Linked DNA regions of Caenorhabditis elegans. The protein of the gene in region 2 purifies or fractionates together with the protein of the main gene of each other region. This does not show direct contact. Each region holds a gene or a part of one and is shown on either strand. Other genes may lie near its edges.

Region 1 (7,802 bases), on a different chromosome or scaffold from region 2:
GATTGATAAAATGATGAATGATAAATAATAACATTGGCTATTTGGTCAAAACAAGCCGGGCAATTTTTTATGACACTTTTCGACGCAATTGAGAACTGCCTAACCATGTTTCACAATACAACTATTTCATTTAACTCATTCTTTTTTCAAGAACTACTTTTTGTATGTTTACTTTGAAGAATAAAATGTATTTATCTGCTCGAAAAAACAAATACCAAAAAATAAAATCTATACCCGTTTCAATTCTAAAACTTCTATTATTCTTCTTCAATCTAAATGCTGCAATGGTTCTTCTTCTCTTTGAATTTCCGGTCGAAGTCTTTCTTTTTTCCGACGCTTCATTAAAAGCTCTTCAGGATGCCAAAATCTGAAATCTTTTATTGATTCTATCATTCAAATAGATTTTATTTTGAAAACTTACTTCAAATATACGGTGACTCCTATTGAAATTATCAAGATAATCACACATAAGAAGAGCAAGAAAATGAGAACATTGACAAATTTATGAGGTTCATTGTCATAATTCTTGTATTTCTTGCGATATCGAGGAGTTGTTGTGGGAACGGTTGTCGTTGAGATTACTCTGAAAATTTTTTCAGTTTTTAGAAACTTTTTTTGGCTTCGCTGAATTTTCAAACCAATCAACTCACTTATTACTAATTTTTTCGGTAGATTTGACACCTTCTAGTTCATCCATCGTATCCAAAATACTCTTTTTCAATGTAGTTGTCATCATTGTTTTCTCAGATTTAGTTGTTGATTCAGTTGAAGTATAAACTCTTTCCATTATTCCTTTTTGTGCATTTTCCACAAATGTCATCCATTGTTTAGTTTCTTCAGTTGGATCCAGGCATACACTTTCATTTGTTCCTGGAAGAGCTTCCAACATCCAAACTGTTCCATGACCATTTAAATCACAATATAAATCATCAATATCATCTATCTGAAAAATTTATTTTAAAACCACTCGAAATCAGATTTTGAACAATAAATATTGATTAACATAAAATAATTGAAAAAATTTGATTTGTGGCATTTTTGAAACAGTAAAAACTTTTCTCAGTTTTTTTTCAGAAAGTAAATTAAAATGGTACATAAATCTTCAAATGAAAAGTTTGCTTTTAGTAATCCCATTCTCAGTAAGAAAACAATTAAGATAAAAACTAATGTATAATAATTTTAGTTTATTACTGGCAAAAACCAATTGCCTTCAATAATTCGAAATAATGACGATCAGCTCAAAACTTGAGCATGGCACGTTCACTTTTAACTTTTTCGAAAAAGTAATAAAAATGTCCCTCACCATGAATGTATTATTGACAAAGCTTCAATATTTTTAAATTTAACATTAGGAGAAACAAAATTCAACATTACACATTTGAGTGCATAACAATTTGGCGATCAGGAATAAATTTCAAAATTTACTACTATATTTGTAAAACTTATGAAACAGAAATTAATTTTTAAACTTTTTTGCTCTGAAACTATGTGACTATGTTCTTACTTTTGCTCGATTAATTCTTCTCATCAACCATCTCTGAAAATCCGATGGTGACTCACAATCACAGGCAAATCTGCTGAAATTCCCACCCAATCGAATCTGAATTTCTCTTTTATTATTATCAACCAAACTGAAATGGAAAGTTTCGTTTTGTAACCCAATGATTCCACCAAAAAATGACTGTTTTGTCTTATCATGATGGAACATAGATAAACTGGTTTCTGGTCAAATGTCCTTTCCTTTTGAAGTGACTAACCTTTTTTAAACCATCCAAATGATTTAAGGATGTTGATGAAAGTTGATCCAATGGGTTATCAGATAAGTAGAGATGAGTTAAAGATGGTAATTTTGTAATGGTTTCTGGAATTGAGGTGATGGCAGAAGATGTTATTTCGAGATGGGTCAAATTGGCAAGATCAGTGAGCTTTTCCTGAAATAATTTTTTTGTGGACATTATTTGCGAAATATGGAAATTGATTAGAATTTAACTAAATTAGATGATGCTCTAAATTAGGTGAAATTTTCGGACAACACAATGACAGCAGGATTAAAATTTCAAATATCATACTGCATAAGTAGGCATGTCGAAACAGTAAAAAATTGTTTACATAAATACATCCAATTGCATAAAATAATTGAAAAATACATAGTTCTATATTTGAAAAACCTTAGGAACACAAAACCAGTTAGTTAAGTTTCCCTCAATTTTCAAAATTAACCTCCGGATTCAAAAAATAACTCACCATTTCCACTGAAGTCATTTTGCTATTTGTGATCTTCAAAGCTCGCAAGTTGCTCAGTTCTTTCAATTTCTCGGTCTAAAAGTCTTGATGTCTAATGAATTCTTCCAAAGAAAAAAAAACCTCAAAAATCTTCCAATCAGTCTGATTCATATGTAATTGTGTCAATGGGGATGGAAATTTTCCGAGCTTATCCCATCGAAGTTTGTCGCAAACCATAATGTTTTGAGATGTCTGAAATAATGTTCCGGGTTAACCAAAAAAGTTTCAAATTAGTTCCGTTTCTCTTCTATTGTGCCTTATCATCCAAGAAAAAACCAATTGGAAAGTGTAAAGTTAGCGAAACCGCGCGGGCGTACCTGACAACAAAGATAGATCCATAGTGATAGGATGAGTGATAATGGGAAATGTGGAGACATAGATTTGGTAACACAAAATGAAAAAAAAAATGAAAAAAGGAAACAGTGATCAAGAGAAAATTGTCAGTATAAAAGGAATGGGTTTAACATGGAAAGGCATCATCCAATCTTGATCATCTCAAAAATGGAGGACAACAAAATCAAGGTATTCACAAATTGTTTGGTTTAGTTTAAAGTTCTAAGAGGCTTTAGAATTTAATTTTAAAAACCATTCATGACTCTTATTTTTCGAAAATTATACAATTTTTCAGGCCTACCGTCTCATCGGGTATGCCGCAGTCTCCCTCTCAGCTGTCGGAATTCTTTCCGTTTGCATTACTCTTCCACTCGTTTATTCTTATGTGAGCAACCTCCGCTCTCAAATGCACTCTGAGCTCCGTCACTGCCGTGACACCGTTAACACGGTATATGCTACCGCTGTCGCTATGCCAGCTCTTCCCGGGAGAGGGAACCGTACCGCGCGTCAAGCTGGATACGATGTTGCCGTTCAAGACGCCCCAGCCCAGGAGCACAATAGCTGCGACGGATGCTGCTTGCCAGGAGCCGCTGGATCAGTCGGAGCTGCCGGACGCCCAGGAACTCCAGGACGCCCAGGTGCACCAGGAGCCCCAGGACACCCAGGAAAGCCACCACAGTCACCATGTGAACCATTAACCCCACCACCATGCCCAGCTTGCCCACCAGGGCCACCAGGAGCTCCAGGAGCACCAGGAAAGCCAGGATCCGAGGGACCACCAGGACCACCAGGGCACGATGGACCAAATGGAGGACCAGGACAACCAGGACAACCAGGACCACACGGACCAAACGGACACCCAGGAAAGCCAGGATCCCAAGGACCACCAGGACCACCAGGACACTCCGACGAGCCAAAGCCAGGACAACCAGGACAGCCAGGACGTGCTGGACCACGTGGACCACGTGGAGTTGCTGGAATCAAGGGCAAGGATGGAGCTCCAGGATCCCCAGGACAACCAGGACCACGTGGAGGACCAGGAGAGCCAGGACAAGATGGAGCTCCAGGACAACCAGGACTTCCAGGATCCGATGGAACTCCAGGAGAGAAGGGAATCTGTCCAAAATACTGTGCTATCGATGGAGGAGTCTTCTTCGAGGACGGATCCAGACGCTAGATTTTATTTCGTCTCTCCCATTTTTCATAAAGAGTTTAGCATTCCAATATTGTTTTTTTAGTTCGAAAATACACAAAATGAGTTTTTCAAAAAGCTAGAATTGATGAAATATCTAATTTCCCAGTTTCCAAAAATCATACCCTCACAATAGAGACATCCGCAGATCTCAAGCATTTGCACGTCGGCGGGCATTCGAAACGACATTCACATTCTTTTTTCTGACAACATTCACAATCTGCTTCACACATCTGAAAAAAATTACTGTTTCAAAGTTACTATGTATTTGAAATTTTTTTTAGCCTACCTTGAAACCTTTTTTAATTATCAGTTCAATTTTCTCGATTAATTTTTTGAAGAAAATGTTTGATAGCATAATTAAAGTCTGTTGGGTATATAATTACTGTTGTTTGATATCAGGCTTTTTCTCAGCACGGTTTTATTAAACTATACATCTTAGTCTCTTTTAAATCGAATTATATTGGTAGTACGCCACCAATTGTTTTTTCAATTAAAATGAAACATTTATAAAATAACTTACATTAGAATATTTGCAGAGCAGTTGATTCCTTGAATGAGCTAACGTGAGCAGCATTTTCTTTTCTGGTTTCAATATATTGAGACATTCAATTGTCTGAAGGTCTCCAATTGATATGTTCTAAAAAATATCAAACGTAATACCAAAAAATTAGAAATTGTGTAAAAACTTCAAAAACAAACTTTAGCAGAAGAATCCATTAACCATTTATGATTACAGTGACATAGTAGTGGATTCTCGGATAAAAACAATTTGACTTGAAATTTGGAACCAGCAAAACTTGATGACTTCACTTCCTTTAGGCTGTTGTTTCTGCAAGAATAATGTTCGGAAAATACTTTTTCAATACAAAACCAACTTTAAATCCAGCAAAATCAAATTTGTCAAGTGCTCAAATGCATGATCATGTAAATACGTCAACTTGTTATTCGACAAATCCACGTGTTTCAACTCTGCAGGCAATACATTCACAGCTCCAGTCGTCAAACCACCAACAAATTCCATTCGATTTCCAGCCAAATCAAGGCGTTTCAGATTTCTAGCACTTGCTGGAACATAGTGAATTGTGGAGACGAGGTTATGCCGAATTGATAAGTCGGTCAGGTTTTCAGGAAATCTGAAAATTTATTTTTTAAAACAAATAAATGTTTTTAAAACCTTCTGAAATCGATATTCGTTATCTTATTGTTGTTCATTGTGATAACTTTTAACTTTGTCAGGGATATCAACGTATTTGTCAGAAATCCAATATCATTGTCACTTACATCCAAGTGAATCAAGTTTCTGAAAATTTGAATATTCATTTTTAACTTCATTTTTAAGAATAATTACTGTAATGATCTTAATGAATATGGTTCAATTCTCAATCGATTCCCAGAAAGATCCAATGTCATCAAGTTGGGAACATGGGCGAATATCTCTCGAGGAAAATCGGTAATTTTTGCATTTTTAACGATAAGGGAATAGAGTTGACCAAGACCCTGAACATCAATACAATTACAAATGTTTTCTCTGAAAATTCTAACCGCAAAAAGTCCTTCTGGAACAGTATCAATTAAGCATCTATCTAATTCGAGACGATCTAGATTTCGAAACCCTTGAAATAATGAATGAGGTGGAGTTGATACTTTTGGAGAATGATAAGGGCATTTTATAGTAAGAGTTCGGACGAGATCAGGACGTGCAAGTTGGAGAGTAGTCACATTCAGCTGAAAACGTTATGTAGTTAAACGGAGGAGTAAACGACTTGAATTGTCTTAATAAATTTAAAATGAACCCAAAAGACTGAATTTCATAACAAAACTACTCAAACATTGCTTTTTAAGTCCAGTGTAAAAATTCTTATCGAAACTAAATTAAATTACTTCCCTTGCTGTTCTTTAAAATAACATGTCCATGTTCTCTGTAATGTACTGTTATACCAAACATGCATTGATGCAGTGACTAATTGATAATTGCGATGGCTAGTCACTTTTGCTATTGCCCCCTACACATACATGTCCATTCAATTACCTGTTCCCACTTGCAAATGAGATGTACTTGTTGGTTCTGCTCGTTATCCGCATAGCATTGACATCTTGTCGGACACGGAAATTGGGAAGGTGATGACGTGGCAGTTGGGGCGATTTGAAGAGAAGAAATGAGAAAAAGATGAAGAAGCGGGAGGACGGACATATACCATGAAGAATGAAGATGAAGATCAAACGGGCTTCAGTTGAGCTGAATCATGAAAAATTTTGGAAATATTGTGGAAACGGAAGGAAGTAGGAATAGGTTGAAGCAAGTTATGAACTAATAAACGTAAAACTATTGACTGCAGATTTAATAAATTGAAAGTGAATCTCACATTTGTCTTTCGATAGTCCAGTGAACTTACTATTTTTACAAAAATAATGGTACCGCTATAACATGAACAAATCTGTTGATGTAGAAAATTTTTAAAATCAACATAAGTTTTTTTTTAATTTTGAAACTGTATGTTTTGTTCAAAAGAGTCTGGATCAAACATTTCTGAGCCAAAAAAGGCAAAAAAGAATCGGTCTGAAGATTTCGAAATTTGTCGAGAAAATTGATACTTTTGACAACTTGCAGTGCATGAATTATTTTTTAACCTAGCATCATAAATAACTCAAACTTTTCGTGATCCTTTAACGTTGTTTTTAATAAAGACATCGTCATCTAAATATTATGATAACTTCTTTAAGACTTTAAAAGGCTTCGTGCCAAGGTTTTCATCAATTTTTAAGTCAGAATTACGCAACTCAAAACTGAGCTAACATCAGTTTCTAAGTTTATACTTAGTTTATAAACTTAGATCTTAAAAGCAAAATAGGTGGTTTCAAACTCTTCTCATAACTTGAACCAATTGCATTTTACAGTAACTTTCAAATTAGTTGTTTAAAAATTTACATGGCTTTTATGTCATTTCTGTTATTATGAATCACATGATTTATAATGTCAAAATGTTTGAGAAAGACCTCACATAAAGTAAATTCATTGAGGCCAAAACTTGAATAAAAACGTCAAATCTATTCACATCTAAACAAAACAATATGAGCACAATGAATTGCTCCAAAAAATGGGACAGAAATCGGCGAAAAGGGACAAAAGGAGCGTGGTGACTTGCAATTTGTGTAGAAAATGGAGGGCAAGTTGGGGCGGGCTCTTCTTCTTCCAAAATACATATTCATTCATCTTTTTTTGCCCATTTTTGGTGCGACAAATTCCTAGAAGCTAGCGTGAACCAAAAGGAATGTCCCGACGGAATCAGTGTCAGAGATGGGAAAGACGACACAAATCTCGGGAAGGAGGGAAGAATGATTGCCCTGAAAGAGAAGGCGGAGGGTAGATCTTCAATTGAGATTTCATATTTCTATAGGAAAATAGTATAGAAGATGAAGAAACGGAGTATCAATGAACTAGTCTGTGGGAAAAAGGGGGCGGAATCTGATTTATGAGAGAGAGTTATTCAATGTATTCCCACTGAATTATGAGTTGAGAAGAGAGAGAGAGTATAAATTGAATTTAAATTGAAAAATGGATTGGAAGAAGCCACAGAAAAAACGACTGGAAGTTTTCGAATTTTTGTGAAGAATAGAAAATCAAAACGAACTATACGACGGCTTCTTCCTGAACAACAACAACAAAAACTTCATGTTCTATTTTTTCTCACTGATTCCGGTTTGAGCCTTTTCCAAACACAATGAGAGGAAAATCGTGATATTTTCAAAATTTGGGCAATTTTTTTGAGTAATTAATTGTTTTATTAAAAGCTAGAAGTCAGGGTTTTAGATGTCGTTTGGTAAATGTGCCAAGTGACAACCTAAGGCCTGAATTTTCAAAATAGTTTTGTTTGAACACATTCACTATTTGAACGTCAAAAATCTTTGATTTATTTTTGGGTTTCGGTTATTGAAATATTTGGTCATCTGGCACAAATCATCTTCTTTGGAAGTAAAATTATTTTTCTAGCAA
Region 2 (5,659 bases):
CATAAATTTGACGTTGAAGCTTAGCGTTTGTGAATTTAGAGTCAAGGCAATGTTGTGGATTAGAGGAATATGCAGCTGAAGCAAGAGCAAGCATTTGAGTTCTGGCAAATGCATCTGTGTAACTGGCTAGCACTGAAAATGTATGATGTGAGAGAGTCAGTGCCAAATTATTCGGAACTTACTAGAAGCTGGGAGGACAAGACCATAGGCGGTGTAAACCACGCAGAGAAGCGTGAAGAGTTTCAGCATTTCGGGGAGAATGAAGAAGACAAACTGACAATGTCAGATAAGTGGGACGAGTTTTTGTACTTGCCGTGATAAGGAAGTATTATGTGAAGAATGATTAGGAGGTTTAGAGACAGCTCTTTTCTCTTATCAGACGGAAAGGAAAACCGGCATGCTGCACACATTTCGTTGGAGAGATCACGAACGTGTGATGGAAAGTTTAAGCGGTTGTGAGTTCCGTTACCAAATTGATCTTAAAATTTTTTGAAATAAGAATTTTTAATGACGACACATTTTGTTTGCATAGTTAAAGTTTATATGGACATAAAACAATTGAGATCAAAGTGATAGTGATGAATTTCAACCCTTTTTATTCTTCTTACGGTCGATGAACTGCATAAAGAATTTGAAGAACATTTGTTAGAAGTTGGTCTCGGAGACGTAAATTGTACGTGGTATTTTCGTATGGCTTCAGTTTTTCAAGTACGTCCTTATTTCTCACCCACCATTTTCCCATATTTACATCTCGATAGTGCCTGAAATAAAACACTGTGATGGCTCAACATATGTAGTTTATAAGTGTTAGTATTTGGTGTTCGCACAGCCTACATAGATTTACGAATTGCTCATTTTCTCTTTTTAGTTAATTTGTTCAGACCTCAACCAAAACTATGAAAACGTCTTGTACTTCAACACATAGGTTCTGAATAAAACCTTTTTATTCAGAAACTACATTTTATTATTAGTACTTATCAAAAGGGAATGTTCCCGTAACTCCAACCACACCTATAGAGTGGATAATGTCCCCATTCTTCCATCCTCCACAGTCCGCGATTTAGGTCTTATCACGGATTTTAAATTAAACTTTGAACCTCATATTATAAAAATTAGCTGCCTAGCCATGCTAAGGGCTAAGCAAATTCTCAAAGCGTTCTCCTCTAACTCCCATAAGTTTTATAGCCACTTATTTAAAACATACGTTGCCCCCATCATAAACTATTGCTCTGAGATCTACTCCCCTTCCCCCAACTCCTCACTCTCTGCCATACTTGAAAAACCGCTTAGGACCTTCACCAAACGCGTCCTGCAAAGGTGCAACGTTAAATTCACCTCTTACGAAAACAGACTGTGCATCATGGAACTATTCTCCACCAGACACACAAGAATTAAAGCTCAAATGAAACTATTATATAGACTTCTTACCGGTTCTACTCATTTCTCTAAATTAACTCAGTTTGTCAAGTTCTCTAATTCCAATAGGAGACCCATGATTCTGGTTAGGAAAGACACATGCACCTCTCATTTCTTTGCCAAATCCATTCCTATTTGGAACAATCTTGTCAAAAATATACCGGTATTTCTCTCCCCCTATCAGTTTTCAAACTTTCTCGATCTCAATATTCCCCGGTATTAACTTTTCTCCGCTGGTTCTCTTTGACTTCTAATTGATCTCTTCTACCACATTACCCTCTCTCTCCTTTCCCGTCCCAAACTCGAGACGTACTCTTTCTGGGTTAGTCTCGTTTTACCGTTTTATTTAACACTCAAAATTCAATTGTACAGTTGTAAATTGCATTAGTTATGTTAAATAAATCAAATCAAATTCAATGTTCCTAACCGTTCTCTTAAAGGAGCACTAACGTACTATTTTAAATTTATAGATTTAAAATGTGCTCGAATAAACGAATTTCGTAATGAAACTTCTCAGAATAATTTTAAAACTTTTTTACGGCGTTGCAAAATCCAAAATTAAGCTAATTTTCAAATTTATTCTAAACTTATTCTAAACTAAGTTAGTATTAATGAAAATATTGAAAAAATTTGTTTTAATACCTTATATATCCAATTTTCGGATCAAGAATCAAAGTCTGATAATTCCCATTATACTCTCCGACGTCATGAATCATCATTTGTAATACTTTTTGATTATTCACTATCATTTTTGAGAAGCAATGTTTTCCATCTGTACAGTTGAGCCATGGTTGAGTTGTAAGTTCCCATTTCCTTGACGGCATTTCTTGCATTATCTGAAAACAGAATGAGCGATTTCATTTACAAAAATCTGTACTCTTTCAATACCTGTACTGGATTAATAAACTTTTCAGGCAGCTTTTCATATTTGAATATCCAACGCTGTGGGAACATAACTCCTCCATACTTCTCACTGACTGAATCTTGTAAAAAATTTCGAATAGTTGTCTTGCTATCAGTCAAAATGATTCTCTCGTCAATGTCGGAAAAGATTGTCCAATTGGCTGATAATTGGTTTCGCAAGTGACAGTCCTGAAAATATCTGAATTTTCTTGAATTTTAGGACTGTATTTCCCCCATTAATCACACTAGCATTATTTTGAGTTTACAACATCTTGGTTGGCTTTGGAGTTCAAAAAAAGTGTAAAATTGGTATGTTGAATAATTTGTTTATATTTAAACAGTTGAACTGATCTTATAGAAAAATACGGTAGTTGCTTACCGCAATTGCTAGATACTGTTGAGAGACTGCATCAAAGTAGATTGAAGGAATATGAATAATTTCAACTTCATCTCGAAATGCCATATAGTGTTGAAGAACTGACATATCATACAATTCGATTTCTCGGATGTAAAAGTAAAACTTGGTGACACCCTGAAAAGTAAAAATTTGACAAAGCGAGACAAAAATTTTATGCCTGAAATAAACATAATCAGTTTTGAAAAAAAATCGACTCGGTACATGTACGAGGTAAATGAATGCCTCTTTAATAGCAGGTAAAATGGTTGTTTTAAAAACTTTAACGTAAAAACTTAATATAAATAAACTAAGCTATCTATGCAAAATTTTAAGCAAACCTGTAATTTATAATGCTCGATCATTTCTACCAGATGCATCCATTTCGGTTCTTGTCCAAATAAAGGAGCCGAACAATGAGTCAACATTCTTTTGTAACTTGCTGAAAAATAATCGAATTACACATTTTGTATTGATGAAATATTTCAAACCATTCCATCGAGTAACAATCATCTGAAATTGTTCCAGCACTACTCCATTTGGTCCATCTGTTATTGCAACTTTATGAGTTTCTGAAGATTTTCGATCACAAATCACAACAAATAACGGATAAATAAAGCTTTTCATTGGCTTTTCATGTTCTTTTCCGTTTTTGTCGAAATATCGGCAGTACACTGTATAACTGTAATTGAGTATCGTTTGCTAAATAATTATATGCAATAATTAATTATTACCCAATAGGTTTTAATGCAGCAACAGACACTGATATTTGGGTTTCAGATTCATATGCTCCAATCAACATTGGTGGGTAGGCATCTTTATATTTTTGAATATGAGTTAAATAAATTGAAGAAATACCAAAATTACTAGAAACGAAATCATAGTTGAACACTTCAATTGAATAAAGCACTGATAAAATGACAAAAAATAAAAGAATGAAGAAAATATAAAGCTTCGACTGAATATCACAATTCATTTTCATTTTTCAGAAATCAAAATGATACAGACAATATTTGAAATGTATAAATTGATATTTGTTCAAGGCAATGTGCTCTCCTATTTGTCACATTATTTGTTAGAACAGGTGACGGCTATCCGCCAGCGTCCCTCTTGTGCGATCCTGTCTATGATTTTATTAATGTATTTGATAAAAATTACTTTTAAAAATTTGTAATTGCTTTTGCAATTTGCATTATTTTCTCACAAGACTTAATGGAACTAGGAAAAAATATCAGACAATTTTGATAATACATCAAAAATTTATTTAAGAAATGTGAACACATTTTATAGTCAAGTAAAAACATTTAAGCGTTAATTTAAAAAGTAATATTCAATCCTCTTTCTTCTTCTTTCCATGCTTTTGTTTCGGTTTTCTATTAATTCTCATCGGGAACAGACGGTAGAGGAAATTAGGAAGAAGAAGATTTTTTCGGAAAAACCAAATAAATTCCATGAAGATTGCGATCACAAAACACCCTCCGATCAAGTAGTAGGTGGCTTAAAAACATATTTAAAAAGGTTACATTTTTGATAACTTACTTTTTTCAGAATATGTGTCGCTTTTGCTATCGAAATGTCTCAAGACTGCCTTCACTTTTCTGAGTTGTCTGAGCATTTGATGGTGTAAGTATAGCTTCGAACTATTAGTTATCATCACAATTGGCCCACTTCTACGACAGGAAAACTCTACATGTGACTGGAATAAGAGGAACTCCAAATTTGTCATGTTTGATATTTGAAGAGCAGGGCCTGAAAATAGTTTTCAAAATAAATTATTAGATTTTTAAACTTACATTTTGTAGATTTTATTTTCTTGAGAAACGGAAATGATAACTTCGTAATTGATGGGTTATTGGCAATTAGGAGTTGACCGTTTATTGTATGAGCATAGGATAATTCCTTAATCCGCTCGGAAAGATTTCCTGAAAAACATCTTATTGATTGATACAATACGAATTGAAATACCACTGGTCTCAGAAAGATATACATCTCCTTGAAACGTTTCGCACCCAGAATACCGATCCTTGACTGCTTCAGATACAAAACCTCCTCGACATTCTCCTTCTACAATAATATATTTTGGAACAAAGTGTTGGTTTATTGTTAGAAAACGCTTTTACAGTCTCTATCTTGTGAAAAAGAACTTACGATAACACTTCACATTTATTCCATCAGAAATAATTTTAACTTTTTCATGTCCCCAACGCTCTTTGATTTGATCTAATTGATCAGTGCACATGTATTGGTTATGCTCGAAAATATGTTGACGAGAACATTTTGGAAATGATTTGAGCAATCCGCGAACATATTGGGCTTTGGTTCGATTGAAAATAAAACATCCTTCAATTACAAACTTCATTTCAGCTGGATTATTTTCTCTAAATGTTCCTGTGAAATGCATATCCCCATACACATGACGGCAATATTGATATTCATTTGAACCTTTGATAGGATAACGAAAATGACATTCTGCAATGAAATTATAAAAAAAATTGGTAGTGTATTTTTAGAAATTACCTTCATCGTTCTGAATGACACACATCTCGGGATTACATGCTTTTTTCAGTTCTAGAAGTTTTCTCCTATCACCAGTAAAAGTTGTGAAACTCAATCGGGAATTTCCTCGGATATATAACTTTGGACGATCTGAAAATATATTCTTAGGAAATGATGTATGAATGCTCAATAATGAACTAAATAGGAGCTGAACATACTTTATTGTATTTTCTCGCTATATTCTTACTTCTTATAAAAGTAGCAAAAAAACTGAGCAAAACTTCAAAGCCAATAAAACATACGCTTAGCAGGAACATTCTCCAAATTTGGATCATGAGCCAAATTCCAAAACCGAAGACCAACCAGTGAAGGGTTTTTTGTGAAATTGAAAAGACAGTCTAAAAATAAAATATGAATGAAATAACTGATGACTAACTTACCTTCACATTT

Evidence for each region. Proteins that work in one complex are often made in the same cells at the same time.
Region 1: the proteins of gtnt-24 (region 2) and lron-14 fractionate together in Caenorhabditis elegans (co-fractionation; one large-scale study listed by BioGRID). This does not show direct contact.

Annotation. Positions count from the first base shown.
Region 1 is NC_003282.8:9,560,604-9,568,405, forward strand, and holds lron-14 (eLRR (extracellular Leucine-Rich Repeat) ONly), read right to left. Parts: upstream 6,003-7,802; coding exon 5,841-6,002; intron 5,537-5,840; coding exon 5,354-5,536; intron 5,309-5,353; coding exon 5,160-5,308; intron 5,112-5,159; coding exon 4,986-5,111; intron 4,945-4,985; coding exon 4,687-4,944; intron 4,641-4,686; coding exon 4,511-4,640; intron 4,449-4,510; coding exon 4,332-4,448; intron 4,042-4,331; coding exon 3,934-4,041; intron 3,839-3,933; exon of another isoform or gene 3,794-3,838; coding exon of another isoform or gene 2,912-3,793; intron 2,806-2,911; coding exon of another isoform or gene 2,785-2,805; exon of another isoform or gene 2,776-2,784; intron 2,476-2,775; coding exon 2,365-2,475; intron 2,320-2,364; coding exon 2,245-2,319; intron 2,049-2,244; exon of another isoform or gene 2,028-2,048; intron 1,938-2,027; exon of another isoform or gene 1,932-1,937; coding exon 1,758-1,931; intron 1,601-1,757; coding exon 1,505-1,600; intron 1,408-1,504; exon of another isoform or gene 1,387-1,407; intron 944-1,386; coding exon 651-943; intron 584-650; coding exon 422-583; intron 368-421; and 3 more. Other genes in the region: col-122 (Nematode cuticle collagen N-terminal domain-containing protein), read left to right, coding at 2,785-2,805, 2,912-3,793.
Region 2 is NC_003283.11:10,750,453-10,756,111, forward strand, and holds gtnt-24 (Glycosyltransferase family 92 protein), read right to left. Parts: upstream 3,699-5,659; 5' UTR 3,696-3,698; coding exon 3,448-3,695; intron 3,396-3,447; coding exon 3,205-3,395; intron 3,156-3,204; coding exon 3,055-3,155; intron 2,852-3,054; coding exon 2,699-2,851; intron 2,509-2,698; coding exon 2,305-2,508; intron 2,253-2,304; coding exon 2,059-2,252; intron 762-2,058; coding exon 605-761; 3' UTR 503-604; downstream 1-502. Other genes in the region: F28H7.3 (Fungal lipase-type domain-containing protein), read right to left, coding at 1-132, 183-249; irld-6 (Receptor L-domain domain-containing protein), read right to left, coding at 4,044-4,210, 4,253-4,462, 4,507-4,635, 4,679-4,777, 4,862-5,182, 5,231-5,359, 5,512-5,607, 5,650-5,659.